Linked DNA regions of Callithrix jacchus. The protein of the gene in region 2 interacts with the protein of the main gene of each other region in a biochemical or structural test. Links are inferred from orthologs where the notes say so. Each region holds a gene or a part of one and is shown on either strand. Other genes may lie near its edges.

Evidence for each region.
Region 1: the proteins of TRIM28 (region 2) and CBX3 form a complex in vitro, tested with the Homo sapiens proteins (2 studies listed by BioGRID). The link is inferred for Callithrix jacchus from reciprocal best matches to the Homo sapiens genes TRIM28 and CBX3.
Region 3: of the proteins of TRIM28 (region 2) and SIRT1, one has a biochemical effect on the other in vitro, tested with the Homo sapiens proteins (2 studies listed by BioGRID). The link is inferred for Callithrix jacchus from reciprocal best matches to the Homo sapiens genes TRIM28 and SIRT1.

The regions. Positions count from the first base shown.
Region 1 is NC_133512.1:31,895,129-31,898,775, forward strand, and holds part of CBX3 (chromobox protein homolog 3), read right to left. Parts: intron 1,781-3,647; coding exon 1,638-1,780; intron 1-1,637.
Region 2 is NC_133523.1:51,179,369-51,183,115, reverse strand, and holds the start of TRIM28 (transcription intermediary factor 1-beta), read right to left. Parts: upstream 2,559-3,747; 5' UTR 2,257-2,558; coding exon 1,917-2,256; intron 1,581-1,916; coding exon 1,468-1,580; intron 1,235-1,467; coding exon 1,102-1,234; intron 1-1,101. UniProt on the Homo sapiens protein: Nuclear corepressor for KRAB domain-containing zinc finger proteins (KRAB-ZFPs).
Region 3 is NC_133513.1:62,528,973-62,532,719, reverse strand, and holds the start of SIRT1 (NAD-dependent protein deacetylase sirtuin-1), read left to right. Parts: upstream 1-1,179; 5' UTR 1,180-1,188; coding exon 1,189-1,636; intron 1,637-1,679; exon of another isoform or gene 1,680-1,894; intron 1,895-3,433; coding exon 3,434-3,550; intron 3,551-3,747. UniProt on the Homo sapiens protein: NAD-dependent protein deacetylase that links transcriptional regulation directly to intracellular energetics and participates in the coordination of several separated cellular functions such as cell cycle, response to DNA damage, metabolism, apoptosis and autophagy.

The DNA.
Region 1 (3,647 bases), on a different chromosome or scaffold from region 2:
CAAAAATTAGCTGGGCTGGGGATGGGCGCCTGTAATCACAGCTACTCAGGAGACTGAAGCAGTAGAATTGCTTCAACCTGGGAGGCAGAAGTTGCAGTGTGCTGAGATGGCACCACTGCACTCCAGCCTGGGCTACAGTGAGACTCCTGTCTCATTAAAAAAACAAACGAAAAATGAAAGCAGTCTTCTACATTACCTATTACATTGCACATGGCATGTGCAGTATAATCATGCTAGTGGCCTAAAGTTTTGGGAGAAGAGGGAAGAACCCGTCCATTTCCAAATGTTTTGATGGGCAAAAATAATTTTTCATGTTTCATGGGCTTAAAAAAGTATGTACTTATGATACATACTGAATTTCAACTAAGAATACTGGAGAATAAAACAGGCAAACCTAAATCTCCTATTCAACTCATGATTCCCAAACTGCCATGCATTAAATGTGAAGAGCAGGGGAAGCAGGAGATAACAGATATGCGAAGCCCAATCATTTGACTATCATATGCTCCATCTCTAGCCTGCTCAGGAAATTGATCTCCACCTATCCATTTTTAATTGTCACTGCCTATGGAGCTTTGTGGTTTAAGGGGGAAGATACCAAGCAGATAAGCACAACATACACAACTGTTAAAAGTATGTAATTTCTGCTTGTTCAAGTTTTTCACATTTTGTTAATGACTAAAATTATCAAGAATAGTGAGAGCAATTCATAACAAAGAACACAAGGAACCAGAGAGGTAAAAAAAATGCCGAGCCTTGACGGGCGCGGTGGTGCACGCCTGTAGTCCCCTACTTGGGAGGCAGAGGTGGGAGGACTGCTTGAGCCCAGGAGTTCTGGGCTGTAGTGTACTATGCTGATCAGGGGTCCGCACTAAGTTTGGCATCAATATGGTGACCTCTTGGAAGCGGGTGACCACCAGTTTACCTAAAGAGGGGTGAACCGGCCCAGGTAGGAAACAGATCAGGTTAAAACTCCTGTGATGATGAGCAGTAGGAATGTGCCTGTGAATAGCCACTGCACTCCAGCCTGGACAATACAGTGAGACTCCATCTCTTAGAAAAAAAAAAAGCCCAGGGTCTAATTCTTAGGTATTAGGATATAATAAACCTAGTATAAACCCTAGATTATGAGTACTCTCCTGTATGAGACCCACTAGCCTATATTGTATAGCTTCAATGTTTTTTAGTACCCTCTGCGTGGAGGAAAATAATGCAAATTATTCTAATTAGTATGATACCTAACCAAATTAAAATATATTACATAGTAAACTACACTTTGTAATTTTATAAATTTGACTCCCCAGGGTAATAAACTAGTCTCTAGTCTGGCTCGGCTGTACAATGAAATCTTGGTTCTTTTTAAAATAAGATACCTAAATTAAAGGGGTCTTTACATTTAAAGATGTCTATGGAAAAGCAGGTAAAAGCCAGGTTAAAAACAGATTTTAAAACCACTTAGCTGCAGTTAAACATACAATAAAGAAGCACTAAGGTTTCTTACTGTAAGATAACTAAATTACAGGGGTCTTTATATTTAAAGATGTCTATGGGAAAGCAGGTAAAAGTCAGGTTAAAAACATTTTAAAACCACTCAGCTGCAGTTAAACACACAATAAAGAAGCACTAAGGTTTCTTACTCTGTAAATCCCTTCCACTTCAGGAAATATTCCACTTTCCCATTTACTACACGTCGATCTAGTACTTTTTCCACCACAAATTCTTCAGGCTCTGCCTCTTCAACTTTTTTACTCTTTCCATTCTGTTTCTTTCCCATTTTTTGCTAAAATAAAACAAAAGAGAAATTAAGAAAAATTCTTCTCGAGTTTTAAGCACATTTTCAAGGCTATACTGCTTATATTATTACATTCAACAAAAATTTTTAATTCTTTTTTTTTTTTTTTTTTTTAAGACGGAGTTTTGCTCGTTACCCAGTCTGGAGTGCAATGGTGCGATCTTGGCTCACCGCAATCTCCGCCTCCTGGGTTCAGGCAATTCTCCTGCCTCAGCCTCCTGAGTAGCTGGGATTACAGGCACGCACCACCATGCCCAGCTAATTTTTTGTATTTTTAGTAGAGACAGGGTTTCACCATGTTGACCAGGATCGTCTCGATCTCTTGATCTCGTGATCCACCCGCCTCGGCCTCCCAAAAAATTTTTACTTCTATATCCCAGGGCCTTCTGGAAAGATTAAAAGTCAACAGACAATAAAAGAACGCTTTATTCTGTTGATTTAGCTGAAACTTATGACCCACCACCCAAAATAACACAATCAAAAACATTATCTGGAAAATAGTCATCTTTTCCAAGTCTTATCTCTAGGTAGTCTCACAAGACCAAGTTTACTAGAGTTTTCACTCATTTTAACAACACAGCAACAACTGTGTAGGAAGTACTTAAAGGATGATACAGGTAAGAAAGCAGTAGTGACAGGTCTTCGGTGAACCCACGAAAGACCTTACAGACATCCCCAGACAGTAAGAGCCTCCTTCTCAAATCAAATATTAATGTCAAAAGCTCCAATGATATAGAGAAAATATAACAGCAGAATGAAAATACAGTTCAAAATCCTGATACCAACTGCAGGGTCAACTATGGAGACCACAAGGGGGTTAAAGGACAAGATTATTTTTCCATAATCTCTATAGCTATTTCTTACCACTTAGAACAAACCTATAAAGCTGTCACTTCAAGAGGCCAAAATGGCAGATTCATTTTAATTACCTAATGTGAAAAAAATCATTCTTTCCGGGTTTCTCAAGAGAAAATCTTAACTGGTAGTCAACCAAATTCACTTTAAACAGGCATTGGGGGCTTTTTTTTGGTGTAACACTCTTTAGGAGAAGTAGGAGACCAACTTCAACCAGTTCTTTCCAGTAACTCAAGACATGTTATGAGAAGTTTAAAAATGGGGAAAATTTCAAAAACCTGAAATGGTTAATCAGAAGATACTATGGGTTGAGAAGGAATCTATCTTAAAATTTCACCTTAAAACAAATGTTATTAAAATAAGATAAACCTCCACTGCCCAGTCATCCCACAACTAAAGCACCGAAACACACAAAAAAGCAACACCTCAAGTCTAAAAAATGACATTTTAAGCTATGCAGGCATATGGAGTGTGCAGACACCTATGCAAGAAAGGCCTCAAGACTGCAAAAGGACATTTCAAGCTATGCAAACATATAGGTGTACATACACACACACACACACGAATTAAAAATCCCCTAGAATACAAAAAAGTGCAGCAAACACCTGACTGTTTTGAATGCCATTTCCAAGTCAGGTCTTAACGATTCTCATTAGTAAAGATAGTTGAGTACTGGGCCCAGTCAAATAGCTTTCTACCTCTGTACAGTAAAAGAAGGTAGGAATCATAGTGGGAGGAATATAGACAAACTGCGATAGAGAGAAGTGTGTTAGATACCTATAGTAGATGAAAAACAAAACAGCTACTGCCACAAAGGGAGAAGGCTAACAAAATGAAGAGGAAGTCAAAAATAAATACAGAAAGCAAAAAGGATACACACTAAGATTAAAAAAAAAAAAAAAAAAAGGCAGACAAAATGTCACTTACTACTGTAGCATTCATAAGCTAGTTTCAAATGCTCACCATTTTTTCTTAACCCAGCAGTTTTTTCCAAAGATGA
Region 2 (3,747 bases):
CGCGCACCACCAAGCCCAGCAAATTTTTGCAGTTTTTAGTAGAGACAGGGTTTCATCATGTTGGCCAGAATGGTCTCGATCTCTTGACCTCACGATCCGCCTGCCTCGGCCTCCCCAAAGTGCTGGGATTACAGGCGTGAGCCACCACGCCCGACCACACCAGGATCTCTTACAATCCAAGGGCCCAGAGAAAACCTTGCAGAGCCTCTCGTGCTGGAAGATGAAATGTCAAACCAGGACCCTCAGAACGGTGGTCACACACCCCTCTTGAGCAGAATCTTGGAGCTCAGAATAATCCCACTCAAAGACCAACACATTAGTAACCTCCGAAAGCTGGGAAAGAGACTTCCCCAATGCCACCCACTCCTGCACCCTAACCCTTGCCTGGAACATCTGAAATCTAGGACACCCTGCAGCCCCTACCTATCCCTCCTGGTTCCTCAAGCCCCACAGCCACCATCTTCCACCAATGCCATCCTCTGGGATGGCAAGAATCACAGTATGGCTAGCAAAAGGCCACTCATGGAAGGAATCTAGGCCAAAAACTGGGCTAGACTCAAAAATCTCTCAATTTCCTTTCCAAACCAAAGCTAGTGTATGTCTACAAAAAGCTGGAAATGCCAAACCAAACTCTGGGTAAGTCGCTGACAAATCAAACCTAAAACACTTCCAGCAATCATCATCACTTATACTCCATGGATCCACAAAGCCTCACTTTCCCTAGCAGTGTCTTGTACCACATGTGTGCCAGCGAACCACTAACCCAGTAAGCCCTTCACACCATGCCTTTCCCTGTTTGCACATGCTGGGCCCTTCACCACCAAGACTGAGAAGTCCCTGATAAGTAACCTTAAACCCTTTATACCCTCCTGCAGCACAGTAAGGTCTCCCCTGTCTCCCGTTCTTGTTCCCTCCCACCTACACCCAGAAGACTACACACCACAACCCCAGTTTTCCTGCTTTTGGAGTTCTGCCCTCAGGCCCTTCAAGTGGCACCCCCTAGAGAACTCTAGAACCCATCCACCAGATGCAACCAACATTAGGAAAGCAGCTGAGGACACACTGGAGAGCAACTTCAATAGCCCCCTCAGCCTCATGTACCAGTAGAGCGCACAGTGTGATCCTTGGTGTACTTCACCCGCTGGTGTGCCTCTACACAGGTCTCACACAGAGGCTCCGAGCACTCCACACAGTAGCTGGTGGCTGGGGCATTATCCTCACAGCTAGTGCAGCACTGCCAGATAAAGACAAGATAAGAGAAAGCAAGACAACCTGATAGGTCCACATTTACATTCCAGAAAATACAACCCGAGATCAAGATTGGTCCCTGGACCCAGCCTAGGCAGCCCACCCAGAGCCTTGGGAAAGGGGAGTTAACAAGCCTGGAGCTGGTGCAAAGCTCCTCCTGGCCACATGTCCCCTCCCCATAAGCAGAGACCTCTTTGTGGATGCTGAGGTAGGACGCACCTGGTTCGCATCCTGGGCGTCGGTGGCAGTCTTGCTGCCACTGTCACGCATGAAATAATTCTCCACGATGTCTTTGGAGAAGCATTGTTGCTTGCATACGGGACAGTCCACCACTTCGAGAGACAGGGATGTGGGAAACTGTTACAAGTTCCCACCCAGGATATGGCCGGCCACATCCCCCTGCCGGCCGCCCCCCCACCCGACCATTATCCCGCAGCGAGCCAGCCCCTCCCCTCCCCGAGCCTTTTTTCTCCAACTTAAGTCAAATGTCCCATTCTCAGCGGCCGGCCCAGACCCACGTTGCTATGCAGAACCCAGGAAGTACTCCCCGTGCCCTGTCCGAGCCCCCATCCTCTAGCCCAGGTGGCATCCTCATCTCTGCACCCAGGCGGAATCAAAGGCAGAGAGTGGGGGAGGGGTGGCCGGAGCCCTGACCACTTCGTACTTACCTGCGCCGTCTCCCGCCGCCCCGCCGTCCCCCGAACTGTTGGCGGAAGCGGGCGCCGCGGGGCCTAGGCAGGCACTACAGGCCGAGTGCAAACAAGGCAGCAGGCGGGGCTCCCTCTCGGGTCGCAGGCGCTCTCTGCACACGCCGCAGTGCTCCAACAGCTCCAGCGCCTCGGCGCCGCCCCCCGCGGGCGACGACGCCGCGGCCGAGGCCGACGCCGAGCCTGCGGCCGAAGAGGCGGTGCTGCGCTTTTCGCCGCCAGCGGAGCCCTCACCCGGGCCGGGGCTGCCAGAGGCGGCCGAGGCCGCTGCTGCCGAGGCCGCCGCCGCCGAGGCCGCCATTCACACGCCGCCGGGGGCGCCCAGGGGGGAGGAGGGGCGCGGGGCCCGCCGCGCAGGCGCAGAGGCGCTCGCCGCCAACTGCTGGGCCGCTGCCGCCGCCGCCGCCGCGAGGCCGATCGCCGCCACGCGCCTCCTGGGCTGCTGCCCACCGCGCGCAGGACGCTGTTTGCGACACGGCCAGCTGCCGCTTGCTCGCTTTACGAAGGCGCCGCCCGCGCTTCTCCAGCCGCCGCCGAAATCCTCACCACGCGCCACAAGCACACCCGCTCGCCCGCGCGCTGCTCGCAGAAAGAGCCGCGACTGAGGGGCGGGACAGAAATAACTGGCGCCGACGACGCCGCGCACGCGCAAGGGGCGCCGCACGCCCGGGGGCGGGGCCCAGGACGGTCGGTGCGGGGAAAGGCCCCCAGTACGCAAGCGCCCACCCCGGTTCCCTCCACCACCGCCAGCCCTACCTCGGTGGGGCTCTGATGGTAGCGGGGCGGGGCATACGTGACGTCACTGCCGCAATGTAATCCGCCAGCGGGGCGTGCGCACCTTTATAGAGTGTGAGTCCCGTCTCAGCGCCGCCTCCAGACCACACTGAAGGAGGCCATTGAGCGCCCAAGCGCGTGGGCAGTTCGTACCAACCCCTCAACCAGCGTCTCTTCGTCCCGCTTAGAGTCTCTCCAGCCTCGGCGTCACTAAGAGTTCGGGATAGGGGGCAGGGCCGATGGGGAGGTGGGCGGGGCCAGGATCGAGTGAAGGGCTGTGCCCAGGGGAGAGGGGAGGAGAGTCTCCATCCTACTAGGAGGGAGGCAGCTCCTGGGTGAGCGCAGAGGCTGACTTTTGGAATCTAGCCACGTTATGATTAAACTTGAGAAACACAGAGAGTGGGGAGGAGGTGAAGGGGAAAAAAAAAGAAAAAGAAAAAATAATAGTCGTGAGAAACACAGAAACTCACAAATCAAATGTAGATCACGGCCGGGCGCCATGGCTCATCCCTGTAATCCCACCACTTTGGGAGGCGAGTAGGGAGGCTCCATTTAGCCCAGGACGCCGAGGCGCAGTGAGCTGGGACTGTGCCACTGCACGCCAGCCTGGACAACAGATCGAGAAAAATGTTTTTGTTTTGCTGTGTCGCCCAGGCTGGAGTGCAATGGCGCGATCTCGGCTCACTGCAACCTCCGCCTCCCGGGTCCAAGCAATTCCCCTGCCTCAGCCTTCCGAATAGCTGGGATTACAGGCGCTCACTACCACGCCCGGCTAATTTTTGCATTTTTAGTAGAGACAGGGCTTCACCATGTTGGCCAGGCTACTGTCGAACTTCCGATCTCAGGTGATCCACTCGCTTCGGCCTCCCAAAGTGCTGAAATTACAGGTGTGAGCCACTACGCCCGGTCCCCCCGCCCCAAAAAATGTAAATCACAAGAGGCTACAGAGCAAGGAGTGTGAAATCCCATCCAGCCCCCCCAGGAGTCCCTTCTGCTTGTTTTAGTCAGCAGCTACCCT
Region 3 (3,747 bases), on a different chromosome or scaffold from region 2:
GATCGAGACCATCCTGGTCAACATGGTGAAACCCCGTCTCTACTAAAAATACAAAAAATTAGCTGGGCATGGTGGCGCGTGCCTGTAATACCAGCTACTCAGGAGGCTGATGCAGGAGAATTGCCTGAACCCAGGAGGCGGAGATTGCGGTGAGCCGACATCGCACCATTGCACTCCAGCCTGGGTAACAAGGGCAAAACTGCGTCTCAAATAAATAAATAAATAAATAAATAAATAAACAAACGGCTACATAGATAGCTCATGCTAGAAAGGAAGGACTCCAAATTTTAACCAAGCGCAGATGTGCATGGAGGCCAAGTCCTTTTCCTTCCATACTCTCCTCATACTGACCCAACACACCCATTCTGTACGTGAGAAAACTGAGCCCCAGAGAAGGGAATTCACACACGCTTGAAGCCAAGCTGGGGCCAGAATGCAAACCAGCTGATCTCCAAACCCTCGTGTCAAAGGTCGTCTTCCCATGAGGACATATGCCTTAAAGGATCTGACAATCTATACCACCCTACAAGTGACGGAGAGGGGCAAAAACAACCGACTAAGGAGAGAAGCAAGGAGCAGAAAAAAGCTAAAGAAGAACTGTGAGAATGGTGTGCTTGTGAGGAGGGTGGGAAGGGAGCCGCCTCCTTTTGCCTCTCTTCCTACCCATTGACGAAACAGAACGGCTATCCAGCGTATTTAAGGGAGCTGAGTCTTAGCCAGCTTCATGTGTGTTTTAACCCTTAGCTAAATCTAGACAAGGCTAAGGCAGGCCAGGTGTACACTTGAGGCAGAAGTAAAAATTCCCAGTGCGGACCAAAACTGGAGTTGTTCGGGCGGTAATGATTTGAGGTCGGTTTGAAAGAGAAGCTGAGAAAGCGGCCGAGGGGCGAATTTGGCTGCACAACACGCCTGTGCCACAGAAGGGTACGGCCGCGGGCCGCCGGGGCACAGTTTCCTACCAGCTCAGGCGGAGTAGTAGACGCAGCTGCCTCCGCCCGCCACGTGACCCGTAGTGTTGTGGTCTGGCCCGCGTGGGTGGCGGGAGCGCCTAGAGGGCGGGGGTGGCGATGGGGCGGGTCACGTGACGGGGTTTAAATCTCCCGCAGCCGGAGCCGCGGGGGCGCCAGTGCCGCGCGTCAAGCGGGAGCAGAGGAGGCGACGGAGGAGGGCCAGAGAGGCAGTTGGAAGATGGCGGACGAGGCGGCCCTGGTCCTTCAGCCCGGCGGCTCCCCCTCGGCGGCGGCGGCCGAGAGGGAGGCCGCGTCCCCGCCCGCCGGGGAGCCGCTCCGCAAGAGGCCGCGGAGAGATGGTCCTGGCCCCGAGCGGAGCCCGAACGAGCTCGGTGGGACGGCCCCGGAGCGTGAGGTGCCGGCGGCGGCCGAGAGCTGCCCGGCGGCTGCGGCGGCGCTGTGGCGGGAGGCGGAGGCAGGGGCAGGGGGAGCGGCGGCGGCGGGCGGGGAACAAGAGGCCCAGGCGACGGCCGTGGCTGGGGAAGGAGACAATGGGCCGGGCCTGCAGGGCCTATCTCAGGAGCCACCGCCGGCTGACGACTTCTACGACGAAGACGACGACGACGACGACGACGAGGGCGACGAGGAGGAAGAGGCGGCGGCGGCGGCGGCGATTGGGTACCGAGGTGCGCAGGGTGCGGGCTGCCGGAACTGCGCATCCCCTCCTCCCTCTCCCGGGGATCTTCCTGGCGTGGGGTTGAGGGGGTCTCTGGGACGCGCCGGAGACTCGGGGCAGGCTCCGTGGCGTTCTCTTCCCCACCACGGCCCTCCGCTTAATTGCGCTCCTCCGGGGCTGCCGTTCCTGCTGCGGGAGCTGCGGGTGGATTCGCTTTTTCTCTGTCTGTGGCCGGCCTGGGAGGCCTTGCGCTTTGCGCAGCAGCCAGGTCGGGAGGCTCTCGCAGTCGCTTTAAAATAAGTTTTCTCTTTTCCCTCTTACTCTTTTAGCATATTGCTTTTGTTAGAGCTTTTTTTTTTCCCCCTTTTTTTTGGGGGGGGGTTGCTTTTTTCTCCCCGCCCTCCCCCCAGGACACTTAAGTCTGCAACTTTTTGCTGTCCCCGTTCGTCGGCATTTTCAATTACTTTTTGCAATCTGACACTTGTGCAATTTGCTTTTTTTTAGGGTCTATATTTTTATGCCTGAAATTACAATTTTTAAAAGAGCAAAGCTGTTTCTGTAGTCACAGCCTGCAAAATATAAAGAACATGGCTGTTCCTGAAGACATTACCATTCTGTAATGCAGTTAGTAGTGGGCATGGGAGAGTCATACTACTTTTAGAGCAGTTCGTATTACTTTTATTTTAATCTTGCTCTTGTGTACGGTGACGGTGTTGAGGCGAAGCATACTCTTTTGTATGTATGTACTGAGACACATTTAACATTGCTAGTATAATGAAGCAGATATGTTGCATTTGTCGTGTTTTTGAAGGTTTTATATTTTTCATCTGAGGAATTTCTATTTTTGAGAGGTGTTCATCTTTATCAATATTTGGGTCAGGCCGGGCGCAGTGTCTCTTTCTTGTAATCCCAGCCCTTTGGGAGGCCAAAGCGGGAGGATCTCTTGAGCCTGGAAGTTTTAGACCAGCCTGGGCAACATAGTGAGACCACCTTTCTACTAAAAATTTTTTAAAAAGATTAGCCGTGCATGGTGGTGCACAGTTGTAGTCCGAGCTACTGAGGCGGGAGGATCTCTTGAGCCCAGGAGTTCGAGGTTGCAGTGAACTATGATCGCGCCACTGCACTCCACGGTGGACAACACAGTGAGACCCTGTCTCAAAAAAAGTAATGTGTGCCTTTTTTTATTATTATTAATTTTTTTTAAAATATAGAGATGGGGTTTCATCACGTTGGTCAGTGTAGTCTCGATCTCCCGACCTCAGGTGATCCGCCCGCTTCGGCCTCCCAAAGTGCTGGGATTACAGGCGTGAGCCGCTGTGCCCGGTCAAGAGACCCTGATTTCAAGCAACACAGTTGAATGCTAATTTAATAATTGTGTTGTTAATACTGTTTATTATTTAATAGAGGAAACAATTCAGAGATACCTATGTTTAGTATTATATGAATTTAAAGTGCACTTTGCCAGTTTTATTTGAATGACATTTTTGTGTAAATTTCCATTTATTACAAGTTTCACGAACTCTATTGTTTGTGGTTGATACTTTCTATATGTTACTATCTTTTCTGTTTAAGTAGACTTAATTTATTTTTAGATTTTGGCCGAAACTTTTAGAGTCAGAGCAGAATTCCTAAATATGAAGAAACTGTACCTATGAGAAGTGCAAGCCGACCCCATAGCATTTACACATACAATATAAATGTTAAATGCTTAATGAAAATGATTACACTATAACCCTTTATGGGTCTTCATACATATTAGGTGCACATTGTTTTGGTAGTCTTGGCTGACTTTTGGTTTGTTTTGCAGATAACCTTCTGTTCGGTGATGAAATTATCACTAATGGTTTTCATTCCTGTGAAAGTGATGAGGAGGATAGAGCCTCACATGCAAGCTCTAGTGACTGGACTCCAAGGCCACGGATAGGTATGGCTCAGAGCTGTTAACTTAAGAGAGTAAATGTATGCTTTTTGTTGTTGTCCTTGTTGGTTTTTTTGAGACAGTCTCACTCTGTCGCCCAGGCTGGATGGAGTGCAGTGGTGCAATCTGCAACCTCCACTTCCTGGGTTCAAGCAATTCTCCCGCCTCAGCCTTCTGAGTAGCTGGGCTTACAGGCACCCACC